Caenorhabditis elegans: one gene and its partner. The protein of the gene in region 1 purifies or fractionates together with the protein of each later gene. This does not show direct contact. Each region holds a gene or a part of one and is shown on either strand. Other genes may lie near its edges. The genes, in order: mab-10 and F01F1.15.

Region 1 (13,502 bases):
TCCGGAACCACAGCAAGGTGGCGGAATTTGGGGAATGATCAAGCAAGCAATCACCATTTATTTCGTAGTTTCCATGGTTTCTGTAAGTTGATCTGGACATCTTAATTTGAAAAATGAATTCAAAAAAATTGAAGGGATTCTTCCGGCCATCGTCGTCGCCTGGAAATGATGGAAATGTGACAGCATCTACTGCTGGAAATGGAAATAAAGCGATGAATATGTTCCCAAATCATCAGATTTTTGATTTATACGTTTACATGGATGATAGTGTTAGTTGACTTGGAGAAAAAGTTGAAAATATCGGAATTTCCAACAATTTCAGGATCTCCCATTCAGACAATTCGATTCAGCACCAGAAAAGTTGATTTGGATGCGAAATGGAATGAAGTATGATGATTGGATTAGTGGTGATAATGAAGTTTGATAATTCTCTAGATTTAATTAATTTAACTTCGTATTTTCTAGGACGGCAGTCACACAATTCACAAAAACTTCCCAACTCCTGCTGCATTGCTCCGTAATGATTCCCTCTGGCTTCACACGTTCATCGTTAAAGCTGGCCAATCACCGAATCCCAAGGATCGGAATTATTTCAAGAATCAGGTAAAAAAACTAAAATTTTTCATTTTTTTAAATCTAAAATTTAAAAATTCAACATAAAACTGGAAAATTTGGAAAAAAAAAATTATTTAGATTAATTAAAAAAATTGTACGAGAATTGTATAGATTTATCAAAAATATGCTAATTTTTATGTAAAAAATATAACAATTAATTTTTGAATTCGTTTCCAAAAACTGGAAACCGAAAAAATCATTAAATATTAAAAAAAATTAAACATAAAAAAAACTGTAAACTTTTTTTGTGGAAAATATGTAGGTAGACTTTCAGTTAAAAAAAAAGAAAAACTAGCCGGAAATTTTTGAAAAAATTGTTTTTTTTCTCAAAAAACGAAAATTCGAAAAAATACAAAAAAAACATTGAAATTTTTGGATTTTCCGATTGTTTTGAAAACCCGACACGAGGATTCTATAGATTTTTCAAAAATATGTTGAATTTTATGTGAAAAAATAATTTTTTTTAAACATAGAAATTATTGAAAATTTGGAATTTTTAACTCAAACAGTCTCTGTTTGTTTTGGGAATTTTTTGGAAAAAAATGTTTGGAAAGTAGAGAAATTACCGGAAATTATTGAAATTTTTAAATTTTTTTTAGAATATCGAAAATTCGAAAAAAAAAACCAATTTTCGATTCTTTGGAAAATCTAAAAACACAATTTTTTTTGTGAAAAATTTAAAAACCAACATTATCAAGAAGAAAAAGAAGATTAGTTCAAGATTAAAATAAATTTCAAAAATATATATTTCAGATCATCTATAAATCATATCAGCTGAACAAGTACAAGAAGAAGTATTATCGAAAAACTTCAAACTTGTTGACTGGTGAGAGTGAGCAGAGTGATGAGGATCTTGCCAAAGCTCAGATTATGAAATATGAGGTGAAAAATCTAAACAAATATCGAAAATTTTGGAATTATTGTCAATTTTTGCAGGTTCTCAATCACTGGCATCCAAACATCTCAATCTCTTTAGTCGTTGATCAAACTCCATGGGCTCGTGGCCAAATTCCACCACCACTTAGTGAAGATATTGAATTTAATGAAGACGGAACCATCTACAAGCCTATTTTATTCTATAACAATTGGTGGAATCTCGGAGCAGATTATCAACCGATCAATGAAACTGTCAAAGATCTTAACTTGACAATTACCTACTATCCAATGTCAGTGTTCAAATATCAAATGTACGCAAGTCAGCGGATGCAGTCTCAATGGCAATCAATGTTATCTATGGATGGTGCAGATATGGATGATGATGGCCATGATTCTATGAAACAAGCACTTCTAGAGACTAATCCAATCCTTTTGGCAGTTACTATGATTGTTTCACTTCTACATACCGTATTCGAGTTTTTGGCTTTCAAGAATGACATTCAATTTTGGAATAATCGAAAAGATCTCGTCGGATTATCAGTTCGATCTGTGCTTTTCAACATCTTCCAATCACTGATTGTTTTCCTTTATATTTGTGATAATGAGACAAATACAATGGTGAAAGTTACAGTTGGAATTGGTTTGCTCATTGAATGCTGGAAGATTCCGAAGGTGATGAATGTATCCATCGACTGGCAGAACAAATGGTTCGGAGTGATTCCACGTTTGGTTATCAGTGATAAAGGATCATATGTAGAGAGTGAGACGAAGATCTACGATCAAATGGCATTCAAATACCTCGGATGGGCACTTTTCCCACTTCTTGTCGGATATGCCATCTATTCTGTAATCTACGTTGAGCAAAAAGGATGGTACTCCTGGGTACTCAATATGCTCTATGGATTCTTGCTCACGTTCGGATTCATTACCATGACACCTCAGCTGTTCATTAACTACAAGCTCAAATCAGTGGCTCATCTGCCGTGGCGTATGCTCACTTACAAATTCATCAATACGTTTATTGATGATTTGTTCGCGTTTGTGATCCGGATGCCGTTGCTCTACAGAATTGGTTGCTTCAGAGATGATATCATTTTCCTGGTGAGAAAATGTCGAATAGATTATGAGGACGCAGAAAATTGCACTTTTAAAAACGCTCCTCCCCAAAGTATTGGGTCTCGTTTGGAATTTTATTTCAAAACCACAATTTCGCCAAAAAGAACGAAAAATTCTTGAAAATCGGTGAAACTAATTGAAAACGTTTGAATTCACGGATTTGCTGCCAAATTACCAACTAATCTATTGCTGTGGAGCGCGCGTGCACATCGATTTCAAAAATCTCATTTTTCTGCGTCCCCATAATACCAAAATAACTTTAATTAAAAAATAATATTAAAATTTCCAGATCTACCTCTACCAACGCTGGGCGTATCGCATTGATCCAACTCGACTGAACGAGTTCGGCACAAGCCTCGAGAAGGAAACTGGAGCACCGGCGCCGACGCCGGCCGTAGAAGGATCTTCTGAACCTTCCCAGGAGCCCGAGCATGAATCAGAACCAAATTCAGAGCATGCAAAAGAAGATAAAAAGACAAAGTAGAATTTACTTGATTTTTTTAATATATTAAAGCAAAACTATTGTTACGGGAATCATGTCTTCCGATTTACTTGTCGTCCATCTCCCCATCTACTTTTTGTTTCCAGTCGTTAGTGAGATTTAAATCCCCTGAACTTCTCAATTATATATTTCCTGTTCTCTTTGAATTCTTTAATTTATTTGTTATAAACTTTTCTTTATTAGAAAAAATAGTTACAATTCAAGTGCATAAGAACCATGTAAACATTTTTGGGGAGAAAGTGGTGATGGGTGGAGGAGACTAGTAGAGTTGTAAAAATCTGTGAATAAAATGGACTGAAAGTGTGGCAAACATTTAGGCAATTTTTAGAAAATCTTTTTTTTACTATTCAAAGAAAAAATGACGGGATTATTCAAATTTTTGGAGCAAATTAGGCCATTTCGAATGACCGGAAAATTTGAAAATTTGATCTATTCAGAAAAATCTTTGAATTTTTTGAATTTTCACTGCATTAAATGCAAAATTTTTGTGAAAATCCTATGGGCTTTTCGCTTCGAGACCCAAAAATTTATAAAAGCAATCAACTTGCAATGCATTGGATGCGAAATTGAAGTTTTTCAGTTTTGAATTCAAATTTCTTTCTCAATAGAGCAAGACAAACATATTAAATATTTTTAAAAAATTGGAAAATGGAAAAAAAAATTATATTTAAATTATCTAATTGGGGGCGGGGCCGTGGGCGTTGGTTTTGGAACCGAACTGTGTTTAGACTCCCATTATATGAGAGCTTGGCATTGGTTTTTGAAAAACCGCCGGAAAAATGGGGGGTTTTTTGAAAACTAGACAAAAAAGTGATAGGAAGAGAAGGAAATTATATGACTCCGAGCGAAGGGGGCGGGAATTTAAATTTAAATTCAAATTCCCGCCTTGTGGGGTACAATAGAGCGTGTTTAGAATGAGAGAATTTTCGAAAACTAATGAGAATCACAGGAAACCGACCAGCGGGAGGTGTTGCAAAGATCACGAGGAAAACAAAAAATATGGAAATCCGAGCTTCAAGATTCCGGGAGCTCACCCTTCATTTTTTCGATTATCGCCGCCCATGCTTCCGGTGGAATTGGTGGCTGAAAAAAATCGATAATCAAAAAATGTTATTGTTCAAATGCAAAGTTTTATGGTTTTTGGTCTCGACATGACTGAAATAATTTGAAGAAAAAAGGGTATGCGTCTTTAAAATTACAGTAACCGTGTTGTATTGCTACTTTTTCACATTTTTTCTCTTTTACTACATTTTGCATATCGTTCACAAAAATGAAAAAACGGGAAAAAATCGAAGAAAATTGAAAAGCTGCAAGGTGGGAAGACTACTGTACGTACTCTTTAAAGGCGCACAGCATTTTTGATTTAAATTTTTTCATTTTTAATTCGTGTCGAGACCAGGTACGGTATTTTTGCATTAAAAGTAACGAACAATTTAAATGTGCCTACCCTTTCTTCCTCCTTAAAAGCACCTGAAGAACTGGACGGTTGTTCATCGAATTCCGATTCTTGAGGGGGCGGAGAGTTGCCCGGCGAGCTTATCGGACTATGCAAATCAGCTGGATCACATGGTCGTTTTCTACTTTTTGCATAGTTATATCCAGCATCTTTGACAATTTGTCGAGCCAACGGAAACAGCTCATCCCGTCGTGTCAAAAGAGACGGAACGAGAAGACATAGCTGAGCAGCTGCTTCATTTACAGTTGTCTCATGAAGTGTCAAAACTTTATGGGGCTTCCGTTTAGTGTCAAAACGTCCGTAAATTGCAGAATACTTGCGAAACGCGTGGATCATTGATGGAGTTGCTGGAGAGCATTTGAGGAGTTCTATGACTTCTCTGAAATTTCAAAAAATTATAAAATAGTCTGAATCCATTCTGACTCACTTTGAAACTCGTTTCTTATTCTGCACCAACCTCGGCGGAAGTGGCGGGAGATTCTTGGAAGCCGCCAGAGCACACTCAGCGAGACGGGATATTTGAGCAGTTGATAGAGTCGGATTTTCAGTTAGTGATGGATTATCTGGAAAATTAATTTTAACATTGAAGTTTTTCTTTTATAAAAGCTTTCACAGCAGTGTTTCTTTTCAGGTAAACTATGACATGGCACCTTTTCTATACTGTAAGATTACTGTAGGATTATTGTAGTTTCAGAAAAACTGAGTTATTTTTATGGAGACGGATATGGGCGAGGCAATCTTGTAAAACTGTAGGTTACTGTAGGAGTACTGTAGGACTATTGATTTTTTTTAGAAAACTGAGCTTTGGGTTTTTGAAAGATCGGTGAGTTGAGGTTAGTGAAAAGGTTACTGTAGTAGCATTTAATAGACTTTTCAAAAAAACAATTTTTTTTTGTCTTTTGACACTTTTTTTTACCAAGTCCTACTATGATTATTTTCGGCTAGAGCATAAACTTTAGAAAAACGAACTTGGATCAAAATCTCCCAATGAAACGAAATCATTGCCATATGGTTGTGAATAACCAACACCTAAAAAAGGAGAGGACGACCCCTCTTTTTCTTGGCCGGTGATGGACGATGATCGTCCAAATGAAGTGGATGGTTGTTGAATGGATGTGCTAGATGGAGGGACGACGAGGTGGCGTGTAACGCTTGCTGCACCACTAAAATTGAGGCCAATGCTGTTTCCGGAGAATACGTTGGCGGTGGCTCTCGATGATGGTGGCGGAACTGCGGCGGAGACATTGGTGGTGGTGGCGGGGAGGATTCCAGCAGGGAGCTCAGGGTGGGATGTGTTTGAGCTGGTTGAGGGGAGCACGCTTCGAACAGATGAGGTGGATGATGACTGTTGATCAGAGGCCAGAGACTCGAGTAGAGGAGTGGAGAACTTGAACGCTGAAATTTTGGGATTCGTTGAGTTGAGGGAATATTCAAAAATCGCTTAAAATCATGAATGGGACAGTATAAGCACAAGTATAACACAAACTGAGTATGCTAATCTACGCGCTGAATATAGTGCATTGATGAAGCCTTGGAGTCGGTGCTAACTTAATTTCGATCTTTGTAACACATGTTGGTAATTGAAGCGGTACAATTAGTTCAATTTAGAAAAAAACAAAAAAAAACTCAAAAATGTGAACCATTATTTTACTATTTCATAACAAATATCTCAAAAACTTAAAATAAAGAACTAAAAACAAAAATTGTGCATTATGGACATGCGTGTGCTACCAAACGCCCAGCGACAAAGACTAACCCAACGGTACCGAATTCGACGATGTCGTGTTCAGATTCAGTGACGGAGACGATGATGACGTGTCTGCTGCTTCGGATGGTGTCGAAACTTTTTCAGCAACTGACGACAGCTGACTCAAAAATCGGAGACTCGGGAATTTCGGCGACGTGGCAGCGGCGATTCCGGGTAGCAGAAGAGCCATCGGATCAGTACCCGCAGGTGTGTAGTTCAGTGGTGGTGGTGGACCGATTTGTTGAAGAGCTGCCAGGTTGAATGCAGTCTGATCCTGACTATACTCAGCAAGTGCTCTCTGCATCCGCCGGACATGAAGAGGCTTCGGAAGCATTCCCACAAGATTCATAATTTCCAGAAATTCTCTCTCCTCGCATGCCATGATCTGATTGATATCGTCGCCACCTGAAACAAATTTACCTTATAATAGAAAATTCACAAAGAAGAATCCTTACCTTGTGCTATGAAAACATCATAGTACTGAACTAAATTCGCTTTGCTCAGTACAGCCAACAATTGCCACTCGGATAGAGTCGTTGGTGTCGGCATCGGTTTGGGAGAACTAAAAAATTTCATAAATACTTTCCCTTATCACCAGAAATCGATAAAAATGATTGACTTACACAGGGCGATCTGCATTGCTGGTTGATTGACGTTGTGATGATGATGATGAAGAGGTGGGTATTGATGAAGTGGATTGAGTTGTAAGAGATGATAAAATTGATGGAGAAGATGAAGACGAGCTAAGTATGGACTCCAAGTGATGTGCTAGAATTTTACTAATTTTTCTGATGTCCTGATCGTCGGGACTTACATGCTGATGGTCTTGATGTGATCGACGAAGTCGTTGTTGACGCAGATGATGTGGGTAACGACGACGACGACGATGATGACATGATGCCTTCTGAAGGCACACAAGTTGAGGTACGCTCCCAATCCAGATCGACGGAAGGGCAGCGGCTATCGAATAGCCTCAGTATCCTGAAAATGAGTTGTTGAATATGAGATTCTGGAGTCTACTACAGAACTAGTACTTTTTGTCTCAAAGCAAAGGAGATTCAGGAGAAACTTTTCGGCAACAACTCGGTAAAATATAAAAAAAAGCTGTTGATAGGCAGTTGCTAGGTAATTTTTTTAACATCAAAATGTCGTTGGAAAGTTGCAAAAGTTCGACAGGAAGTTGTAAACTGTCAAAGTTTTACAGGACGCTGCCTCCAAAACCTCCGAGCCAAGTTGGTATATATTATTTTTATAATCAACTACAGAAAACACACTGATTGTATGCTTAAAGAGAAAATATCAAACAATTATTAGAAGGTACGTGTAAACTACTAGAAATTAAATATTGTAAGCTGATTTATATTTTTCCCAGAATGAAAATTAATTGAAAAATGCTGAACTACTGTATTAACTGCTTTACAACACTGTAGGTTCCCTATCGAAGTCATAAAAAAGGTTTGCAAAAAAGGTTAGAATAGAGTGAAGAAGAGAAGAAAATGGGAACATATCGACACAGAAAAGAGAGTGGTATGGCCCCCGATCCCTGTTCAAAAAACCCCAGCGTCCGCCTATCTACATCCCTGACGAAATAGTGTCTTAAACTAAGAGTGCACCCATACATCTAACTATAGGTCAAAAAAACTCGGCGGCGCGCCCGGACGCAAACGACGACACAAGAAACATAGAAAAACCGGCAAACCATTGGGCGAGAAAAAGCGTTTAAAACATAGAGACACAGAGACAATCCTACAAAAAACGTCTCTCGCCACTGGGCTTCTTCGGTCGTTCGGACGCGGGACGGACCGGGAGGTGAGAATGGAGAAATAGGAGGGAGGGAATAGTACGGGAATCGGGGGAGATTTAGAGAGAAAAAGAACCGATGAAAAAACCAAAGAGGCGTCGTTCGATTATTATTTGAAATGTTCGGTTTACTATGCGAACGATTGAGGTGACTGTGTGTGTGTATACACAGGATGGGCTTGGGAGGAACGGGACAAAAAAGTGACCTTTGTTGACAAGTGGATGTCTGGGGATACGAAAGTTCAAAATTTACAGTAATCGGGGTCAGACTTCAGAGAGATTTTGGTAGCTTATCTCCTATATCTATTAACTTCTGACTAACAGAAATACTTTCAAGTTTTGGTGTTTCTTACCGATATGATAAAATATTTAGGCGGATAGTTTTCTTCCTGTTTGGACAAATAGATGTCTAGAAGCTATAAGAGCATACTAATCAAAACTCAAGCTCCTCCTCCTTCTTCCAATTCAGCTGTTCTCATCCAACAGTACCACCATCTGTTTGACCTCTTCTTCACCTCGTTCCATCGCTTTTTCCAACTGAAAAACCGCTCCGAAAACGTCCTTTTCGAGGCTGGCGCGCGCACGCTCATTCTTCTAGCAAAAAAAGCCCCCATGAAATTGTCTGCACATGTCCATGAATTGATGAAAATAGTGTAGACATGGGAGGAGATGCGCGCAGTATGAGGTGAACAGAAAAAAAATTGGGAAGCGATGAAGGGAGAGAAGGTCGACGACGAACAGGCGGATGGGACACAACGGGGAATAGGTGGGAGGTTCGAGAAAAAAATGGGAGAAATGGAGAAAATAGACATAAAGTGAAGAGTGACATTCATAACTAATAATCTAGAAGTTACAGTATCTCCCAACGGACGAAACTAGTGATCTCCGGCAATTCTGGAAACTGTCCGAGCTCGGTCGATTCGGCAAGTACTACATCAGGGGTGTGCGTCAAATTCGCCGAGTTTGTCGTTTGCCGAATTTGCCGAGCCGACAAATTTTAAAAATGTGGATTAGCTGATTTTGCCAAATTTGCCGTGCTCGGCAAATACTAAAAAAGTCCATTGTCAAATTTGCCACACTCCTGACACGGAGGCCTTATAGTTAGTTTCTGAACTCTAGACCTCCTAGTCAAACAAATCAAAACTAAGGCTTTGGTGGAAGGCAGGCGCGTTTTCAGATCCTGGTGCATGCCTGAGACCTGCCTGCCTTCCGTTCTTTTCTCATTTCAGTCAATTTGATAGTTAAAAAAAGAAAAAACTAAAAACCTTACCTGATACAGTTCTAACTCCGCAGACGACGAAAACGGGATGACGTGGTTCTCTACCGACGAAACCATTCAGCCCGTGTCTCCGAATATCATTCGCGTCTGGCGCCGCACAAGGTCCGGGCACGACCGGGTCAGGAGGCTGTGGAACAGTGAGGCCGGGGTCTATAATAAAAAAGTGGTTGGATAGAGGTGGAGGTGATAACTGATAATATGCAACGCTAGAAAAAAAGGAAAAAAATTAAGAGAACATAGGTCAACTGGAGGGGGGAACACGCGTGCGTTGAAAAAAAAGCAAAGGCATTGAGAAATCGAGAGGAACAGAGGAACAGACAGAGCCAGAATAGTGCAGCCACACTCTATATTCTCTCTGCAATCTCTCATCTTCTCCATACTATTTCTCATTCAGTGATATCAGCAGTGGCGCGGCGTCTTCTCAGCGGCGGTGGTACCGGTCGCGGACACCCAGGGCAGAATTGCCCGGGGGGGCGCAAGTGACCCCCACAGACCACGGGGGGACGCATGAGGGAAAAAATGGCTGGCACTGCCTGGGGGCGACGGCAGTGTTGCTGCACAAAAAGTGCGTCTACACTCTCTTCGCTTTACTTGCTCTTTCTGCACTTTTTCTGCTGCCCTCGGCCGCGTCCATTTTTTGTGTGTTACTGGCAGCGGTACCAGTCCGGTGCCGACCCAAGGAGCCCAAAGGTCTCTGGAAGAGCAATTGATATGATCAGAAGCAGTGGAAGGCATGAAGAGCAGTTGAAGAAGGGGGATTCAAGTTGGTGTTTGGGATAGTGAGACTTTTTTTAAACCGCTGAATCACTGGAGAAGTACTACATGAGTACTGTAGACTGTATATGTGATGTTGTATATGTTATTGATATGAGTACTGTTGAGTACAGTAAGGCCGCAAAATTATTTTGAAACTCATCTTATTCGATTTTTTTTTCAGAATTCACCAAAACAAATGTGTGGTGGAATTCAATAATGTTCGTAACTTCAAAAGAGGATTTTATCAAAAGTTGCCAAATATATTTTGTTAAAAGCGTTTTTTCGGCGAAAAGGTTGCTGAAATACTTGTATTCTAAAAATCATTAGTATAATTTGAACATGTTTTCAAACAAAAGTATAATTCGTTACAGTAATGCCAAGATTGAATCCTGGAAAACACCTTCTTTCATAAAAATGAAAATTTTGAAAAATGGTTTTTACTGATTCGTAGAACAAAATTGTAAGCAGATGGCGTGGTTCTTGAAACTTCTGGATTAATCCATCTGAAAAAATTCCGACTGATGATTTTGATAATGTGTTGTTTGATCAAAAAACGAAATGGAACTGATGCTTTAGGATTTTTCTAATTTCATCTCACTGCAAAATATACAGAATCTATTGTATTTGGAGTAGTAAACAATTTGATTGTTATAGTTTTTACAAAAAAATATTTTGAAAATTCTGGAAAGTTGGTAACTAAGAGTTTCTTCACAGTTTTATCTTCAGAAACTTTGAGGGCTCATCGTGAGATTGGTTCTGGAAACTCGTATTTAGAAGTTCATAAACTTGTGGGATGTTGATATGTTTGCATGGCAGAATGCAAGAGGATTTGGTGGAATTGAGGTATGTATCAACACGTTTTTTAAAATAAAATCAAAACATTTTCAGACAAAATGTTAGTTTTCAGACAGCATAACTTCCATGTTATGTACCTACCTTCTTCTGACGTATCAAATTCTACTATTCAATTGTACGGAGAACCCTCAACGTTGCCTTACAGTTAGTGGGGTGCTTCATTACCCATATACACTTGAAAGTGCTCTAGTTTTTTATGAAACTTCTGAAAATCAATAATATGGTTATGGTGATTATTTGGCAAAGCGCACGTGGACAGAAGATAGGATTGCTTATCCGTGGTTTGGTCTGCCAAGAAATTCTTCAATGTCAGTTATCAAGCTCAAGTTCCCTGCTCTCCGAGTGGTCATGAATGGTACGGCTGTTTTTGGCGATTCTGCTGCCATGAAACTCTAAAAAAAACTTATATTTAGTCTTGCTCGTTTACTGAAATGCGTCCGAACTTAACAGGAAAAAGAAAGATATAGCTTTTTTTATTGATTATTATGTAATTCTATTTTTTCTGAATAAATTCGTGCATAACAATATTATTTGAATTTGAGCAAAAACTCAAAACTACTTCGAGAATTTTGATGTGTGTTTTTGCTGCTTGCTTAGACATAACTTAGACAGTGAGCACCGGCGTAGGTGTGCTGGCTCGGTGCACACAGTGTAAATTACCATCAAATGAAACTGTAATGAACAGTCTTTGTAAAAGTGCAAACCGCCCATTTATTTCATCTATTTTCTCGTTTCACACTGTAATTATTGTGTGAGTGGGGATGAGAATGACTAGCTCAGTACTACTCTCAGTGGAACATATTGGTTAGTTTTACAATTCTAATGCACAAAGTTGTGGTTTTTAAAAAATAAATGTTTAATGTTCAATGAGCGAGACCCGTTTAAAAAATGAACCGTATTTCTTCTAGTACTACAGCACCCCAGTGTTTCACTTTGAAATGTTACATCTCGGTTTGTTTTACAAATTGATAGAAAAAGAAGAGACAAATATTTTATTAGTTAACAATTTTTGTATAGAAAAAACGACAACTGAGATATGAACTGTCTAAGTTGACAGTCCTAATAGAGATACATTCTTGATTTTTTAAGCTATAACAAAGAAATCTCATTTCTGGTCATCCTTCTCTAAACCCTAATTAATCAGATGTTCCAATTTGAAATTCGTTGTAAAAACAACAGAGACCGCACCAATTTTCCGATCTTCTTCCTTCATTTTTTTTTGCATTTTCTTCTCTTTTTCATCTCCATTTAAGTGATTAGACAGTGCGAGAAAGACACAATACATAGGAAAATTGTCATCCGACCGGTCTCTCTGAAAATACTATTAAAGATGAAGAGACATAGAGAAGTCATGGCCTTCGAAACGTCTACGAAAGGATCAGAGAATGACGTTGGAAATACTGTCCTGATGTTTATTTATTTTTTTTAACTCGAAAATTTCAAAATATGATCGTTTCAAAAAAAAATTCGCCCTAGTTCAGGCAAGATTATTTTAAATATTTGATGAAATTTCTTCTCCCCTCCCAAATCTTGCCCAAGTTTTGTGTAAAATTTATTAATTTTTAGCAGTCACTGATTACAAAATTATTATTTTAATTTTAAATCACTTTTACCCACATAATTAAGAATTCTGACCATTTCTGATCATATAATAGATATTTAAAAAAAATTCAAATAAAGATCATTGGTTGCCAAACATTTTAACATTCGGCAACCTCGACAATAGTCCGTTTTTTGGCGACATCAGCAACTGCCGATATCAATTTCAAAATTGTATCTAAAAACTTCATGAAAAAAGATGCAAGCTTACATAAAATGAAAACAATATATTTTTGTTCTCAAAAAACACTCCGAAATATTGCCGGAAAGCTCGTTTACCGCACTTCCCTGATATGCAATTCATTTTTTGCCCAATTTCTTGCAATAAAAAGTTAAAAACATAGTAACATGACACCTCGTATCCAAAATGGCACCCTCTTCCTCTCATGACCCAAATGTTTGTCTTTTCTCTCTCTCGTTTTTTTCTACCGCAATGTGCTTTTTCTTTGCTTTTTGAGCTTATTGTGCTCATTTTTGCGTCGGGTTATCAAACACTTACCTTCATTGTGAAACTTACTATCAACTCTTTTAAAATGATGCTTATTCCTAGAAAAATGCATTTAGAAGTAACGGAAAAGCATGTGAATATGGAATCATATAAACCTGCAATTGATCTACTTTTCGATGAAGTTTCTCAAATTTTTTGGATTGTTCTATTTTTCTACGTTATTGTGTCAATGATTTGGATTATGTATTGCTGTTATATTAACAAAATGTAAGTTTATGAGAACATTTTTATGATTTTTAGAAATCAGTGAAAAGATCTTGAACATAGATGTGTGATATATGCCGTTCGGCACATTTGAATATTACAGATTATATAAAAAGTCCCCGTTTTCTAATCGTTGTGCCCAATTGTCTTTTCAAAATTTATATAAAAATATAGAAAAATAAATGTACT
Region 2 (8,564 bases), on another chromosome or scaffold:
CCAACACATTTGAGGATAATGAAATGTCTTTTGGATCGGACTGGAATTTTAATTTGTGGTTTTTGAGGTTACCGTAGTACAGAACTACCTTATGGATGTGCATTAGTATATTTGCAGCAACTGGTCCAAAGCGTCCATCCGAAAGCCATCGGAGCCTCATGTGTTCGGCGAGAACTTCTGTAGAATGTTGACCAGCAAGCATACTGTAGGCTTGCACTGAAACTCGAATTTTTAAAATTGTGGGTCCCGCGACGATCCACATCACTTTTCACTAAATAACGGGATCAAGGCGTGAGCAGGCACATTTGCCTGATTCTACATACAAAGAACGATTTCGAATTTTCTTAAATAGCTCACCTGGAATTGGTCCTTGTTGTGTGAGAGTTGCAAGAGATGCAAATAGGCTCCGTAGTTTATCATCGTTCATTTCGTGATTATTGATTTAAAAAAAATGTCTGAAAATTTTCAATTTCTGAAATTTCCGATTAACTTAATAATTCTCAAATATTGCCGAGTTAGCCAATTTTTTTTAATTGACGATCAGGGTTCTAGAGCAAGCGAAATATTTCAGCTACAGTACCCGCGAGTACTGTAGAATTTCATTCTTCTTACAGAAAGTTGTTTCCTATTTGACAGTTTTCATATTTCCTGATATATAATAAGACTTCTCAGTAATTTAAGTTTTTCTAACAAGTTTTCAAAAAATTGTGGGAACTGGTTGAATACTTACAGATACTGTATACTAAAATTTTTAGCTCGTGTCAGGACCCAAAAAACTAATTTTTTCTACTAAAAATTGTACAAAATAACCGGGTCAAATCGAAAGACGAATGGCTCGAGCTGAATGACGCAAGAGATTTGAAAATGAGGTGAAAAGTGTCACCAGAGACAATTGGGTGCTTCATGCTCAACTTTCAAGATTTTTTATCTCTTTCGAAAATGCATGATGGCAAAGTTCAGAAGGCAGAGCAAGCAGCATCACACACTCAAAAAATGAAAAACAGAGGAAAAGTGACGGCTGTTTCGAATTACACAACACATGTGGCGAACAGAGAGCTCTGGAGAGCATAGAAGAGGCTCAAAACACATGAACATAGCAATATAATAGACAATTAAAATATTGGAATTTTCATGAATTATATACATATGTATTTTTCAGATGGGTCTCGGCGCGCAAAAGTTTATGGTAGACTTTTTAGAATTTTCACGTCTGCTTTTTTGTTCATTTGCCTTGCGTTTTTCAATGATATTAATTGTTTTTTAGCGAATCATGTCATATTCTTTTCATTTTTCTATCCTAGAGTTTGTAAATATGTTGTTTTATAAAAACACCAACGCTGTTTTCGGTTCATGCATACTTGCATAGGACAAAAATTGCTTGATTGTTTATAAACATAATTATTTTTATTAGCTTTCTCGTGTGGAAATGTGAAACTTCAAGAAAATTCTATTTTGCGGCTGGAAAGGGAGGAAAATTTTTGTGCGGCAAATTAAATTCAAATTTAGCGCGCAAAAAGGTGTTGGACTTTTCTCGGCCGTGCACTCCTCTCGGACAACGTTTCTCTGGTCTCTCTCGGTTTGTCTCTATTCTCTATTTTCCTTTTATTATTTTTTTTCAAGAAATTTACCACAAAAATATGAATAACTCAAATAGAAGTAAGTTTAAAAATAATAATTTTATTCAAAAATTAAAAAATGTTCTTTATAGTAATTCCGTTTGCTTTCAAAAGCTCTGAACACGGCTCATACGAAGATGAGATGATGGAAATGGAAGACGTAGTCGATGTAGAGGACTATATGGGCGGAGAAAAATATGATTCTTATAATGATGCAAAAGAAGATATTAAAGATTTTAAGACGACTCAAAGAATGAAAAAAATCCATCGAATGGGTAAAAAAATTATCAATAAAATATTAAAAGTTCAATTATTGTTTCAGAAAAAATTGAGCAAAACATTGCCTCAGAGAAAATCGATATAATCGAGCTTGGAACACGTGTGATGGTGTCGACATCGGATAAAACGCTCAATGAAGCTTCATTGGAGAGAACCATCCGTTGCGGAATATCTGAAGCCACATTTCTCGGAGATATTTCTATGGAATCGCTGGTAGAAGGTATGGTGAATCCATCGGCGGCTGATGGAAGGTTTGCAATGCTTGGAACGTCTATTATGGTCAGAATTCTGATAGCCCGGAATTCAAAATTCCATTTTTTGATTTTTCAGCTAAATGCGCTAAAGTCAAACATTAAAGACCTGAGAGGAACAATTGTAGGACAGACGACCAACACAAATTCAGAGTCAAAATTCGATAAAATCGATTTAAGTCTAATGAATCTCTCGCATTGCCAACAAACTTCTTACAATATTCGAGCAACAGGTGTATTCTCTGTGAGTTTTTTTTTGTTTCAGCTTCTATGAAAAAATGCCAAATTTTAGAATGCCGATCTTCAATATGTGTTCAGTTTGCTGACGTTCCGCAGAAACGCAAAACTTCTCAACAAAACCAAGCAGTTTATAAAAGCATATTTTTGTGTTGCGTGCCGTCCGAGATGCATGATCTGGAGATATACTTTAAGAAGAGCTGGAAATAGTCAAAGAAGAGCCATTCTTAACTTACCATCCGCCATTGTTTCAACTATTACTCGTAAGTTTTAAATAAAAAAAGAGAATCCATGGGCTTTTTCCAATATTTGGAAACAATTTTCGTTTTTTCAAAAAATAGTTTTAAATGTTGACCTTTTTTCCTTTTTAGATGGCAATTATATGTTTTTCCTTAATAATATTGATTGATAACAGTATAAGCCTAATTTGATTTAAACAAAACATTTTTTTGTTGTAAAATTGCTAAACTTTTTTTTTGATTTTCTCAGAAAAAAAATCCATAAAAAATTTCAATGATACCCTTGCCAATAATCAATTTTTATTGTTTTTTCCAGAGTTTCTGCTCGATTTGACAGGAATTAGCGATGCAAACATCCCATACGATCAGCTCGATCCAATGACACCACTATCAATTTCACTTGGAGAAGATGAATCAATGCGTGTTCAACGATATGAAGAAGCTTGTCGATTGAAGGATCCATTGACGAGATTCTTTCGAGATGCAATTACAGATTGCTTGTAAGTGCCTGAATCCTTGAAAATACATTGAATTAAATTTCAGAAATGAGCTCCGAGAGATGCCGTTTTGCCTGAACACGGGCATTCTGTTGAGCCCGTTGCGTGGTCGAGAACAAGGAACTTCTTGTGTTACATGGAAAGATTATGAAGGATTTTTGAAAAGAGAACACGATCTGCCTTCCGAAGCGAATATGAAGAAGCGAACGCAGTTTGAGTAAGTTTAAAAAATAATTTCGATTTTAAAATCCTTAAAATTTGCATTCAGTTATAAGTGTAATTTTTTTTTGGAAAAAGCGTAAAATTTGAAAATCAATTATATTTTCAGTTACCGACAGGATAACAGAATTTTTCTCTATTTTCGCTCCCTTTTTTTCGAAAAATACCAAAAATAAAATTTCATTGCTGCTCGCTGTTGCGGAGCGTTCTTTAGTTTTTCACTACAGTACTACTTTTGAAAAAATTGTACGTGACGAGGCCGGGTAACATATCTTTGAGACGAGATTTCAGAGTTCATATCTGAATAGTATTAAAATTAAATTTCCAGACAACGGCTCTGCGACATTATTCCACGTGTACGTCGACCGGTTCCCAATTGAAAAAATGTTTAACTTATCAATTTTCGATCTCTTGAATACGTTGTTTCCAATCAACTTTAATGAATAATATTCATGTTTTATTCGTGAAGAAAAGTACCATTTACACAAACACTGGATACCTATCCAAACACCGTTCTTTTTCTTTTCTTTCTGCCACTCTCCCAATCATTGTTTGCTCTCTCTCTCTCTCCGCTTCACTTGGTCATTATCGACGCTTTTTAACCATTTATTCAGAATGCATTTTGTTTCTACACTGGTTTGTCTCATATCACTGTCGGGTATTCAATCTGCATCGGTTTCTTCATTAGAGTGTGGAGGTTGATAGATTTTTCTAAAATATATTTTTAAATATTGAAAATTTCAGCCTGCTCCCTCCTCGTAACCCATTTCGAGCTGAAAATCGCCGCAGTCGACCCGAAAAAGAAAATCGAAGTTGGAAGTTTCCGAGTTTCACCAACTGGAGATCAAAAAGGGCTCAAGGAAATCGGCTATGCTCGTTCAGAATCTCATTTGACAGAAATCATTGAGCACGCTTGTGATGATGCGAAACACTATAAACTTGTGGTAAGAACCATAAATTGTATAGATTTTTACAAATTTCTCTTCAGGTGAATACAATTACTGGAAAATCAGTCTACGTTCACAACGACGCCACACATTTGAAAGGAGATGAGTCTCCCAAAATGAGATATAATCTTCAAAACGCTGTAAGTTCAAGCACGGGATTCCAAACTCTAGTTATTATTAGAAAACAATCCCTAATGAGAATTAAGAACTTTTTCAGTTTTTTGCAGAAAACTTCAGTCTTGATTTTTTAATTTAAATTTCTAAATTTTAGTGCAACGACTTCATTGACTCTCACGAAGATGAGCTTCTTGGTTTCCTGAAGACCGCCCATCAGGATCCCGTCAAACAGTTCTGCCAAGGAGAAATGGGTGCTTGCACTGCTGTCGATGTGGCACCTCTACCTGCTGCTCCAGAAGAACCAATGGATCTTTCTGATATTCCAGATGATGAAATTGACAGAAAAGAACTTTAAATTAAATTTTCCTTTTTTAAATTAGTAATTTATGAATTTCAACTCGTTTGCGGGATCTGGAAATTGTGCTATATCGTTATCTGTTTGAATTTTAATTTATATGTGATTTGTTTTGTGATATAAACTTCAAGTTTTTCCTTTCGTGAAATGCTAAGGGTAAAGTTGAAATCAATTGAAATATCGCAGAGCCTCTTGATCTTGACTTACAATTCTATTTATAATTAGATGACGATTTCTCCAATTGACACACTCGAAGAGCTCTGGAGTTGGAAATCACGAGAAGATGTTGGCGAGCAATACAGTGAGCAACTGGTTAACTTTAAGTAATTTTTATGAAATTTCAGAAAGAAAATTAATTTTCTACCTGGCAATAAGAATAGTGTTAAATATTTTTAGCCCGAATGCGAAAAAAATGGTTTTGGCGCGAGCCAATTTTTTCAGCTACAGTACCCAGTAGTATGGTAGACTTACATAATATTTGGTTTTTACTTAGTTTTAAACTTTTTTTGATAACTTTATTGATAAACAATAGTCACAGTCACAGTCACAGGACAAAAGCTTCGATCGTGCTGAGACCTAAAATCATGGATTTTCCCTACTATATGGCAAAATTTCAGACCACATTCGGGTCGTCAAATCCTCGTATGCCACGATATGCGTGGTGGATATTTGGAAGAGGAGTCTACGGAAGGAAAGAAATTCGAAAAAGACCGGTACCCGTACATGTTCTTGAATTGGTGGCAAATCGACATTTTCAACTACTTTTCACATCATTTTGTGACGATTCCACCGGAAGATTATACACGAATTGCTCATAAACATGGTATAAAATATTAAATCTAAAAATCGAAATAACACAAAACATGCCCGTCCATTTCTTGGTTTTTAAGTCAAAGTATCCCAATTTCAGGTGTTCTTTCACTTGGAACATTCATCACGGAATGGATTCCAGGATACGATATTTGTTCGAAAATCTTGGAAAATGAGGGTTCGGTAGAAAAAACAGTGGACTGTCTGGTGGCTGTTGCGAGATTTTTTGGATTTGATGGATGGTTGATTAATATTGAAAATAAAATTGATGCAGGAAAAATCGATTTGTTGATTCAATTTTGTTCGAGTTTAACTGAAAAGTCAAAGAAAATGAATGAAAATTCGAAAGTGATATGGTATGATTCGGTACTTGATAATGGAAAGTTGCATTGGCAAAATGAATTGAATGAGATGAATCGGTTAGAATATTAGAACTGTACTGAAATATTAATATTTTTAAGAAAATTCTACGATGCTTGTGACGCCATCTATCTCAACTACAACTGGAAAGATAAAGAACTTCTTCGATCGGCTGAATTTGGAGTTCTTGATCGGATCTTTGTTGGAATTGATGTATGGGCTCGTGGTTGTGTTGGAGAATTTCATTGTGATCAGTCATTTGCATTGGCAAAACTTTTTCACATGTCAGTTGCTCTTTTTGCACCCGGATGGATTTATGAAAAGTTTCCTGAGGAAAATCAAATTTGCAAAGGAATTCAGTAAGGTTTTTTGAAAATAAAATTGAAAAATCAGAAAAAAAAGACTACAGTACCCCGATAAAAATATAAATTTATAAAAAACATAATTTTTGAAATTTAATTTATTTCCAACTAGAAAATTCTACATTAGGATTTTTTTCAGAAAAATTCCACAATTTAAGTTTTATTGAAATTTTAATTTAATTCCAGCTTCTGGTCCAAACTTCTTCCACACATCCGAACTCGTCCTCTAACTTCTATAAACTTTGGCACCAACTTCTGTACTGGAATGGATCAAAATTGGCACTACCGCCTGAGCACAGTGCAGCTTCAGCCTCAAATTTTAAGCTCCTTCTGCCACCAAGTAATTGACTCTACAGGACTCACTCTTTTTGGCAGAAATCGAAAATTTCTGTAAGTTATGAACATACAAAAATTTACTCATTATAATTTTTTCCAGACTATTCACTTTCGATTCTGTCAACTACAGTACCCTGACCATAACTTGCACTACTTCCAATTCAATTGACCTGCTTCTGAATAGATCTGAAATTATGGACAAAACCGGAGATTCCACGTGGCATATTGACAAGCCAGGAAATTTGGAATCCATCAGCATCTTGACATCAAGCAACGACGAAACTGTGATCGAAAACTTTTCCATTGATTCTAATTAAATAATTCTAATTTCATAAAAGTCAATAAAACAAATTTTAATGCACAATTTTAGATCAATTTCTGGTATATATGTACGTATATAGAATAGATTAAGCATTGTACAAGAATTAAAAGACTAGACATTCTAGCACACGGATGATGCACATATAAAATCGGGAAAAGGTGGCGAAAGTGAAATTGGAAGGGCGAGTTGTGGATAATCAGCGACAGAATAAGCATTCCAGATGAATTATTACTTATCCTGCGTTGCAAAGAATGGTTTTGTATCCCGATTGAGCAGTGTGTGACATACTTTGCACACATTGGCTGGTCGATGATTTGGTCCACTTGGAACGGTGTCTTTCAGGCAGTTCATGCAGAATATCCGACCACAATGAAGACAGCTAAAAGATTTGAAAAATAAAAGTGACTGAAATATTCCATGAAAAAGTAAAATAGTGCTATCTCTTATTTTTCGCACTTTTTTAAAAATTTTTCCTTATAAAAATCTGCTATTTCTGGAAAACTATGCGTGATTTTTTATTTTTCGAAGCCTTTTTTTAAAAATATTTTAGGTCGTTTTAAGAAAGGGTACCGAACGCTTGATTCATAATCACTATATATTTTTTTTCTTTTTAAAATCTTCTGTTTGACATATTTTAATTGGAAAAGTGTAAAATTTATTTTTGAAAATGAAGAAAATAATTTTCTTGTAATTTTTTATCAGAAATTCAAACTTCCATTTTCAAAAACTTACTGAGGTTTAACTTTAACTCTAGCAAACGATGTATCACAATTTGAGCATTGATCTACATCATCATCCCATTGCCATCGTACTTCTTGTTCCGACTGTCGAATCTTCTCCAATTGAATTTGGAGGCTTTGAGATAATTTCACAAAATCTCTCTGCACAACTTCAGATGTGTCGAGTTCTTGTTGAAGACTTGTGCACCGTTGCTTGTAGTTCTGTGCCGTCTGTTCAACAGCGGCTCTCTCATTTTGAACCTGCTGAACCTGCGTCTCAAGTTCACCGACAGTTGTTTGAAGATCTCTAATTTGTCTGATATTCGAATCTTGATCTGCAATTGTTTCCGATGCAACAACCATTCGAGTGTTGATCTTTCCTAATTCCGACTGCAATCTGCTGATCTCTGCAGTAAATGTCACTTCCTGATCTTCTCTGTGCGCTCTTTCTTCTAGAATCTGAGCTCGCAGGACGGTGATCTCATCCTGCAGCTGCTGCTCGGTGTGCTCTTTTGCAGCTCGAGTTTCTATCAATTCTTCCCTATTCTTGAGACAAATAAATTGTAATTGATCAAGATCAGCTGGCATATCGATTTTCTCGGACCGAAGTTCTTGTGCTGATTTTCGTGTGGACCCGAGAAGCTTTTTGTACTTTTTTCCTAATGTAACAAAGTCATCGTCGGCTTGTTGCAGTTTGTCACGAGCCAAATTCAATTGATCAGTGAATACTTCTATCGATTTGTCGTGCTGAAATTAAGCTTTTTTAAAAGTTATTCTTTTTATTTATTTAAAATACCTTCGCACTGAGCTCGTCCAGCCGCTGCTCCGACTTGGCATTTGCCTTTGCCGCCTCGTTAACCTGATTCAAACAATTAGTCGATAATTCGTTCATTTTCTT

Evidence for each region.
Region 2: the proteins of mab-10 (region 1) and F01F1.15 fractionate together in Caenorhabditis elegans (co-fractionation; one large-scale study listed by BioGRID). This does not show direct contact.

The regions. Positions count from the first base shown.
Region 1 is NC_003280.10:10,524,128-10,537,629, reverse strand, and holds mab-10 (NAB transcription cofactor mab-10), read right to left. Parts: upstream 9,547-13,502; 5' UTR 9,383-9,546; intron 8,258-9,382; exon of another isoform or gene 7,832-8,257; intron 7,294-7,831; 5' UTR 7,209-7,293; coding exon 7,127-7,208; intron 7,081-7,126; coding exon 6,936-7,080; intron 6,875-6,935; coding exon 6,768-6,874; intron 6,718-6,767; coding exon 6,322-6,717; intron 5,961-6,321; coding exon 5,535-5,960; intron 5,129-5,534; coding exon 4,993-5,128; intron 4,945-4,992; coding exon 4,557-4,944; intron 4,193-4,556; coding exon 4,124-4,192; 3' UTR 3,250-4,123; downstream 1-3,249. Other genes in the region: R166.2 (Cleft lip and palate transmembrane protein 1 homolog), read left to right, coding at 1-82, 135-269, 323-418, 466-603, 1,369-1,497, 1,552-2,592, 2,897-3,091; F59B10.6 (uncharacterized protein), read left to right, coding at 13,156-13,316. UniProt on the Caenorhabditis elegans protein: Transcriptional cofactor. Heterochronic protein, involved in timing of a subset of differentiation events during the larval-to-adult transition.
Region 2 is NC_003281.10:5,864,918-5,873,481, reverse strand, and holds F01F1.15 (DUF3456 domain-containing protein), read left to right. Parts: upstream 1-3,952; 5' UTR 3,953-3,953; coding exon 3,954-4,035; intron 4,036-4,082; coding exon 4,083-4,282; intron 4,283-4,326; coding exon 4,327-4,425; intron 4,426-4,556; coding exon 4,557-4,757; 3' UTR 4,758-4,892; downstream 4,893-8,564. Other genes in the region: F01F1.3 (MIF4G domain-containing protein), read right to left, coding at 1-40, 89-216, 358-427; F01F1.11 (PAP-associated domain-containing protein), read left to right, coding at 1,638-1,656, 1,709-1,891, 1,939-2,174, 2,226-2,390, 2,439-2,646, 2,939-3,122, 3,166-3,336, 3,667-3,718; eng-1 (mannosyl-glycoprotein endo-beta-N-acetylglucosaminidase), read left to right, coding at 4,983-5,080, 5,375-5,580, 5,668-5,986, 6,029-6,286, 6,476-6,679, 6,726-6,942; rabn-5 (FYVE-type domain-containing protein), read right to left, coding at 7,176-7,326, 7,680-8,413, 8,463-8,564.